Linked DNA regions of Xenopus tropicalis. The protein of the gene in region 2 interacts with the protein of the main gene of each other region in a biochemical or structural test. Links are inferred from orthologs where the notes say so. Each region holds a gene or a part of one and is shown on either strand. Other genes may lie near its edges.

What was found.
Region 1: of the proteins of cyld (region 2) and mib2, one has a biochemical effect on the other in vitro, tested with the Homo sapiens proteins (2 studies listed by BioGRID, with this or other methods). The link is inferred for Xenopus tropicalis from reciprocal best matches to the Homo sapiens genes CYLD and MIB2.

What each region holds. Positions count from the first base shown.
Region 1 is NC_030683.2:92,207,580-92,211,406, forward strand, and holds part of mib2 (E3 ubiquitin-protein ligase MIB2), read right to left. Parts: coding exon 3,721-3,827; intron 2,989-3,720; coding exon 2,807-2,988; intron 1,579-2,806; coding exon 1,513-1,578; intron 335-1,512; coding exon 93-334; 3' UTR 1-92. UniProt on the Homo sapiens protein: E3 ubiquitin-protein ligase that mediates ubiquitination of Delta receptors, which act as ligands of Notch proteins.
Region 2 is NC_030680.2:51,209,405-51,213,231, reverse strand, and holds part of cyld (ubiquitin carboxyl-terminal hydrolase CYLD), read left to right. Parts: intron 1-129; coding exon 130-262; intron 263-2,167; coding exon 2,168-2,276; intron 2,277-3,694; coding exon 3,695-3,813; intron 3,814-3,827. UniProt on the Homo sapiens protein: Deubiquitinase that specifically cleaves 'Lys-63'- and linear 'Met-1'-linked polyubiquitin chains and is involved in NF-kappa-B activation and TNF-alpha-induced necroptosis.

The DNA.
Region 1 (3,827 bases), on a different chromosome or scaffold from region 2:
TATACACAGCCATGCTTGGCACAGACATGTTGCTTGTGTCTACTAAATCCACAGTTACGTCTCAGATCCAGAAGATGCACTTTCTTTCCTACTCAGACAAATATCTGTATCCTCTCTCTGATAAGCTGCCTGCATATGGGACAGGCAGTCAGGGAAGTGCTGCATTCAGTACAAGACCCATGTCCACACTGGAACACCAGCTTGATGTGATTGTCGATACAAATAGGACAGGTGATCCTTTCCTCCATTTGGCGGTATCGATTCTGGAGCTCCTCCATTACTTTCTTCTGGTCTGACACTTCTAAACTGGGACTGCATTCAACTTCAGTACTGTCTAGAGTTGGGAAAAGAAGGAATATTATTTGCATTGTGTGATGGCCCATGTGACTTAAAAAACAATTGCAGAGAAAACAAGAAATTAGTGATGGCGGAATTATTCATCCACAGCGGGGTGTGGAGTGTAGCCAGACCACAGACTTACTCCCTGAATGAGCATTGTAAATGACCCCTTATGGCATTTTGATACAAAATAAAGCAGGGATTGATTTAATTAAAAATGAGTAGAACCTGAGATAAATTTTTGCTATATCATAAGCCTCACAAGCACACAGGATAAGAGAATAAAGAGCAATAGAAAATAATTACACTTAGGGATTCCCCATTTCTTACCAGCACCAAAGAACTGTTGGAACTGGCCCAGAGCAACTTCTGAAGCTTCTGAAATGAATATGATCTATTCCACTGGGATTAAAGTATTAACTGGTTATATATTTTGTCCCAATAACAAATAAAATCATTCATATCCATTCTAGCACACAGAACCTGCATTCATTAGACTTAAGTGACTGTAGAATGGAATAGAATACATTTTGGTGCATGTGCATACAAGACAAGTTAATGTAAGTGTAGGACTATGAATATGAGTGTATAAGGGTGAGGAAGTGGGAACTTTGGTTCAAAGACGCGCAGTATTATTAAAGGAAAAGGAACACAATTAATATGTATCAAAGTAATGAAACTATAATGTATTGTTGCCCTGCACTGGTAAAAGTTGTGTGTTTGCTACAGAAAGACTAGTTTATATAAACAAAGCTGCTTTGTAGTAATGGGGGCAGCCATTTAAATTGAAATAGTGCTAAATAGCACAGGTTACGTAGCAAGTAACAGATAAGGTCTGTAAAACACAATTGTATTTTACAGAGCTTATCTGTTATGTAACCTGTGCTTTTTCTTTTTTTCCAGCTTAATTGGCAGCCCCTATGGCTACACAGCAGCATTTTTTTTTTAATATAAACTACAGGAATTTTTCTGCAGCCAACAAACAACCTTTACCAGTGCAGGGCAACAGTATGTTATATTTTAATTACTTTCATTTTATGGTGTTACTGTTCCTTTAATAGAGCATTATTCAAATCATCCACTACATGGAAAAAGTAGGACAGCACTGTTTTAATAGAACTACATGTTTGCCCTGTGACTACTGTACCATCTAAATGGCTTGAAATTACCCACCTTGCCTAAGCTTTCTTGCTATGCACACTTGACATTTGATGCACTTCTTCATTCGTCTGGAACATTCTGTGAGTGAAAAAAACAGACTAAAATGGCTCAAAACAACATTGCTATTACACTTGATAAGAGGCAGGTTATTTAAAGGATTAACAAAGCCAACATGTGAGATGCATTGTACTGACGGACTTCTTAAACATATATTTTAATGTTTCAAGAATGTTTTAGATAAAAAAAACAGAGCAAAGTTAACAAATGTTTATCTGTGCAGAACAGACCATCCACCCATATGTCTAGTGAAGAGAATAGTGGGCAATGAGACTGCAATGGGTAAAACTATAATACTATGGAACCAGGTCTAGTATACAATAGCACTGCTGTTTGGTTTGAAACAGGTGACTGGAACATGCTACCTGCTGATTGGCTGAACTTAACCTGGACAAAACCTTATGACTTTTATTACATTATTCCCAAGGCTGTATTGGAACGACTTCAAACATTTGTGAAAGAGACAAGATTTTAAGACTGACTAAATTTTAGACTGTTGTCTTTTACACTCAAAAATAAAATTATAAAAGAAAATGTAATTCAAAGGTACTTGCCAATATACTGTACAAGTTTTTCAGTGGTTTTAAAATTATTTGTAAATGTAATTGCACCTGAGAACAGTATCTGTGCCCTTTGCTATTGTCTGCACTAGTAGTTTGGACTATTGAAACAATGTAGCAGAAGCCAGATTATAACAACCCTGGGAACATGCAAGGCAGTGAGATAATAGAAGTCAGTGCAGAACAGGACAGATAGACACTGCTTTCATTTGCAGTTACATTTACTACACAAAATGTTTAATGAATGTAAATTTGAATGTTGTTTATATTTATATATGTTTTTCATTATGCAAAATGTCTAGGTTTACATCCCATTTAATGAGAACAATCTTATTTTACATAATGCAGCAGTGCCATCTGCAGGACCTAATATCTTGGGCATGTCTCTTTTTCCCTAAGCGTTGGAGGTTGCATCAGAACTAAAATAAAGACATAAACATATAAGGAACTCTTTACGCGGCTGGGTTTCTGTGCAATTCTATAGGGCACAATGAGCAGCAGCGTGATTTCTGGTGTTTCTTTGGGAGTGATTTTTTTTAGCTGCCAATATAGAAGTTGTAAAACAATATTATATGGTATATTATAACATGGCAGTTCTGGCAAAAGACAAAACTAGGAAACCAAGACATCCTTATTAAGTCATGACAGCACAATTACTTACATTGATGATACCTGGAAGTTTCTCTTACCTTCACATACTATGCTGTGTTGGCAGGGGAAGAAACTGACTAGTACGGCCAGCTCAGAGCATACTAGACACTCTGCAGGACTGGCGGCACTACAGGGGCTAAGGTTAGTCATAGTATTAGGTGTAGTGTGGACTCTGCGGAGGCTGCAACTGACGGTTGGTGAGTCTAACTCCACTTGTTCTCTAAAGAAAGAAAGGATTATTAAGAATATTTTATTTTAAAACAGAGGGTGGTGGTAGAAAGTATCCCTCCCAGCTGTGTGATAGTATAAAAAACTAAACCAAATCATGGCTACAGCTGAATTGCATACATGGCTGTAAATGATCCATTGCTGGAACATTGTCAGTTGTTTAAAGCAATGATAAGTCAAAGGAGAACCTTCTTTAGTATTTTTTTGTCTCATTGAAATAATAAACTGTGAGACTCTGGTTGATAATAATGGGATGTGATCAGCAGTGATCTTTTGGATTTCCCCAAAATTCATATGTGCCATTAGCCGTATAACTGGCAATAATCTGCAATAAGTGTAACTCTCTGTACAGTGAGCTGATATTATTGCATGTGATACATGGAAACATAAGAGGTCCTGCACTGGAAAAACCTTCTGTGTAGCAGTTGGGGCAGCCAGTGTAGATGATAGAAAATGGAGATAACACAAGTTATATACAGATAAGCTCTTTGGAATATATTGGTGTTCTACAGAGCTTATCTGTTATAGGCTATATAACCTTTGCCATTTAGTGCTACTTCACCTTGAATGACTGCCCCAAAGGCTACACAGCAGCTTGTTTATATAAACTATTGTAGGAAACACAGCTTTTACCAGTCTAGAGCAAAAATACATAATATATATATATTTTTTTGGTGTTACTGTGCCTTTAAGTTTACTGTATGGTAAAATGGCCCTTTGGTACCTGAATTTCTGTGCAAAGTTTTTCACAAGGTGCGTTATCCTTCCATCTGCGATCAGGTCCAGGGGAGACTTCCCACGGTGATTGGCATAGTTAATGTCAGCTCCAGA
Region 2 (3,827 bases):
CTGTATATATTTAGGTGTTTATGAGCCACCAGTGAATAAAGTCTTTTGTGTTGTACAGTTTTCTCGAACCTTTATTTATTTGTTGAATGCAAATCATCCCCCATCAGTTCATGTAATTGCTTTGTCTAGGTCAGCAGGTCAGAAGGTACAGGACTGCTACTTCTACCAGATTTTCATGGACAAGAATGAAAATGTTGGGGTCCCCACAATACAACAGCTTTTAGAGTGGTCCTTTATCAACAGCAGTTTGAAGTTTGCAGAGGTTGGTGCCATCAAAACCAGTCAGATGAAGTTCTGTGCTGTAATTTTTAAAACCCAAGCTAAGGATGAGTTGACTGAATATTCTGTATAAAAGGCTCACTTAATTAGGAAGGACTTATCTTAGCTTCATGCTGTGTGTGTGCCATCCCACCGGCGATGGCAGGTGATGGCAACTCGGGGAGATTAGTCGCCCGCGAACAGGGAGTTTTGTTGCGGGCGACTAATCTCCCCGTGTGCCAGAGCCCTAAGAGTCAAAGACACAAGAGGATGGAGGTCCCTGCCCCGTAGAGCTTAAAATCTAGATGGGAGGGTAACTTACAGACACAAATAGGCAAATATAAGGGCTGTAGGTTACAGTGGGTGACACTGCAATATAAGTGCTAGTTCCCAGATCAGGGGCTGTGCGAGTGCTCCAAGAGGAAGTCTTTAAAGCTGGCCATACACGCACCGATAATATCGTACGAAACCTCGTTTTGTACGATATTCCGTGTGTGTATGGCAAGTCGGCCGATATCGCAGGAGGCTGCTGATATCGGTCGACTCGCCGATCGGCCAGGTTAAAAGATTTTGATCGGACGCCATAGAAGGCGCCTGAGCAAAATCTGCCATCAGGGCTGAATCGGCAGAAGGAGGTAGAAATCCTATTGTTTCTACCTCCTTATCTGCCGTTTCAGCCCTGAAGGTTAGTGGCAGATTGTACGATCGCAAATCACCACGTGTGTGGCCACCTTAAGTTTAGTTTTAAAAAGACGGAAAAAAGGAGGATTCTAAAAAGGAGGATTCTCTCTGGAGGAAGTCTGGGAGGGCATTCCACATGTAAGGCGCAGCTAGGCAGAAAGGTTTTAGGCGGGATACAACAGTAGTAGTGGGGGGCGCAACCAAGCGGTTGCTCTGTGAGGAATGGAGGAGTCGGCCAGGAACGTATGGAGACACAAGACACAGATGTAGTGAGTAGCAGAGGGATGGAGAGCCTTTAAGATTAAGAGAAGAAGTTTGTAAGATATTCTTTGTTTAATGGGAAGCCACGATAAGGACTTTAGCAGGGGAAGGGCCTGAACGCTCCTGGATGAGAGGAAGAGAATTCTGGCAGCAGTATTTAATACAGACTGTAGAAATCAGACATACGTTCAGGGAGAGATTATGCTTTTACAGCAGATTATGAAGAGATTATGCTTTTATAACCTCGGTAAATTTGGCATACCTTGCAATCCAATTAGGTGCCCTTTTAACTTTAAATGGTTCTTTTAGTGGTCCCCTAAATACAATTATTTAATTCAACAAACCCCTGCCTTTGGCACTACAACTGTGGTAAAGTAGTGTTTGTTGTTGCCCTATTGTTGTGGTGGCTATTATTTAATTATAAGAATTGAGTTACTTAATGCCATAAAGACACAATTCTAATTAAAAAAAAAAGTGTATAGAAAGCAGTAATTATTTATCACCCTACACTGTCATGTTCAGTAGTGAGTTATTAAGTTCAGTGAATCTGGTTAAATTGTATTTGTTTAGTTCTTCTGTCTTCTCTTTGGTCTTCAGGCTTGGCACATTGCAACGAGTCTATCTGTCTTGTTGCTGGTTTCGACACACAGAGCTACTTAGTAGCAGCTACTTGTTACAGCTACTAAAATATCCCGTAATAGACAATACTGAGAATTGCCTCTGCTTAAACACACATAGAAACAATTATCAGTAAAAGATCAGCATTGTGTATTATACTAGTCACAACAAGTAGCTGCTACTAGTAGCTCTCTGTGTGTTCACCCTTATACCTTTCAGTTTACCATATTTTTGGTAAACAGTATATATTGTTTGCATGTTAATTCACAATTCTCAAATTTAAAATGGTGCTGCTGGTGGTTTTTGGAATATGATTCTCAGAAATCCATTCTCTTCTCTTTTTTTGTAGGCTCCCTCTTGTTTAATTGTCCAGATGCCTCGGTTTGGCAAAGACTTCAAAATGTTCAACAAAATATTCCCTTCCTTGGATTTGAACATCACAGATTTACTGGAAGACAGTAAGTAAGATTGAGCTTTTTTGTAGCCAAGTCTTATGTTATACTATTTTAAAGATCACATTAAAAGCAGTGTATCAAGCAATTAGTTATTTTAAAGGAGAATGAAAGGCTGTCACTTGGGGGTGCCAAAATGTTAGGCACCCCCAAGTGACTTAAATCGCTTACCTTATACTCTGGGCTGGAGAGAACAGCACCAGCCTTTAACAAGAAAGGCGGCTTTTCACTCTACTGCGCATGCGCCGGCCCAGGGATTTTGCTTGCAGAAGAAAGAGGAAGGAGGAAGCGATCGCTCAAGGTACCCTGGGCTGGTGCTGTTTTCTCCTAACAGGGGCACCAGCCCGGGGTACAAGGTAAGTGATTAAAGTCACTTGGGGGTGCCTAACATTTTGGCACCCCCAAGTGACTTATCCTTTCCTTCTCCTTTAAGAATGTGTAAAAGCAGTACAAACACATTCCTGTAATTTGTCAATTGGTAATATGGTCAGTATCATTAGTTATGCGGTACCGCACTATATTTAAAACTAATAATTCAGCTTCTATACAATTTACATCTATATCTGTTAAGGTGCCCAAACACTGAAAGATCCCCCCCCTTTTTTTTTTTTTTTTTTTAGCAAGGGCACCAGATGAGTGGATCCTTCCATGGTATGCCCACATTGTAGGTCTCATTGGATCACATTGACTGGTTACAAGCCACTGGGACAAGGACTGTGCTGATGCAGTACTTTGCTCTGAATTTTTAAACCTGCTCAGTCGACATCTGCCCAACTTTATCAATTGGGCAGGCCCACCTGAGGGCCCACTAACACGGGCCGATAAGCTTCTGGCCATCTGTAGCATTGATCAGTCTGTGTATGGCCACCTTTAATTAATGGTAAAAAGTAAACCAAAACTTCTACAATTAATGGCACACCTATTGTTTTATTCAATTTGATCTTCTTGGGCAAAACCTGACATACAAATAACTAGAATCACTGACCTGACTGAACGTGATACTGTAAAAAAGAAATTCACTCCTATAGCACAAAAACAAGCTTAAAAGTGCCATGTAATCTACATTTAAATCACAGCAGGAATCGCAGCTATAGGTGTGCCACAGCCTTGAAGCTAAAACTGAACTGTTGTCATGAATGCTGAATAGGACTAGTTGATTCCAGAGACCGAGAACACAGTAACTAAAGCTCCATCTACTCTGTATATGTTCATAATGCTTCCCTTGCAGGAGCTGTTTAATATAGATTAATATGTACGGTGTGCAGTTGCATTGAAACTTTATATCTATAGCTCTGTGTATTCCAACCAAAAAGGGCTTGATGCACATCCTTCTGAATAGCTTCTAAGAGTTGTTTTAAAGCTTAAAAGTTGCAGGTTTATTGCAGATTAATAGATCATTTTCTTTTTAAATGTTGTTCTTCCAGCTCCCCGTCAGTGCCGCATATGTGGAGGTCTTGCTATGTACGAATGCAGAGAGTGCTACGATGATCCAGATATTACTGCAGGGAAAATTAAGCAGTTTTGCAAAATATGCAACACCCAGGTATATAATCTGCA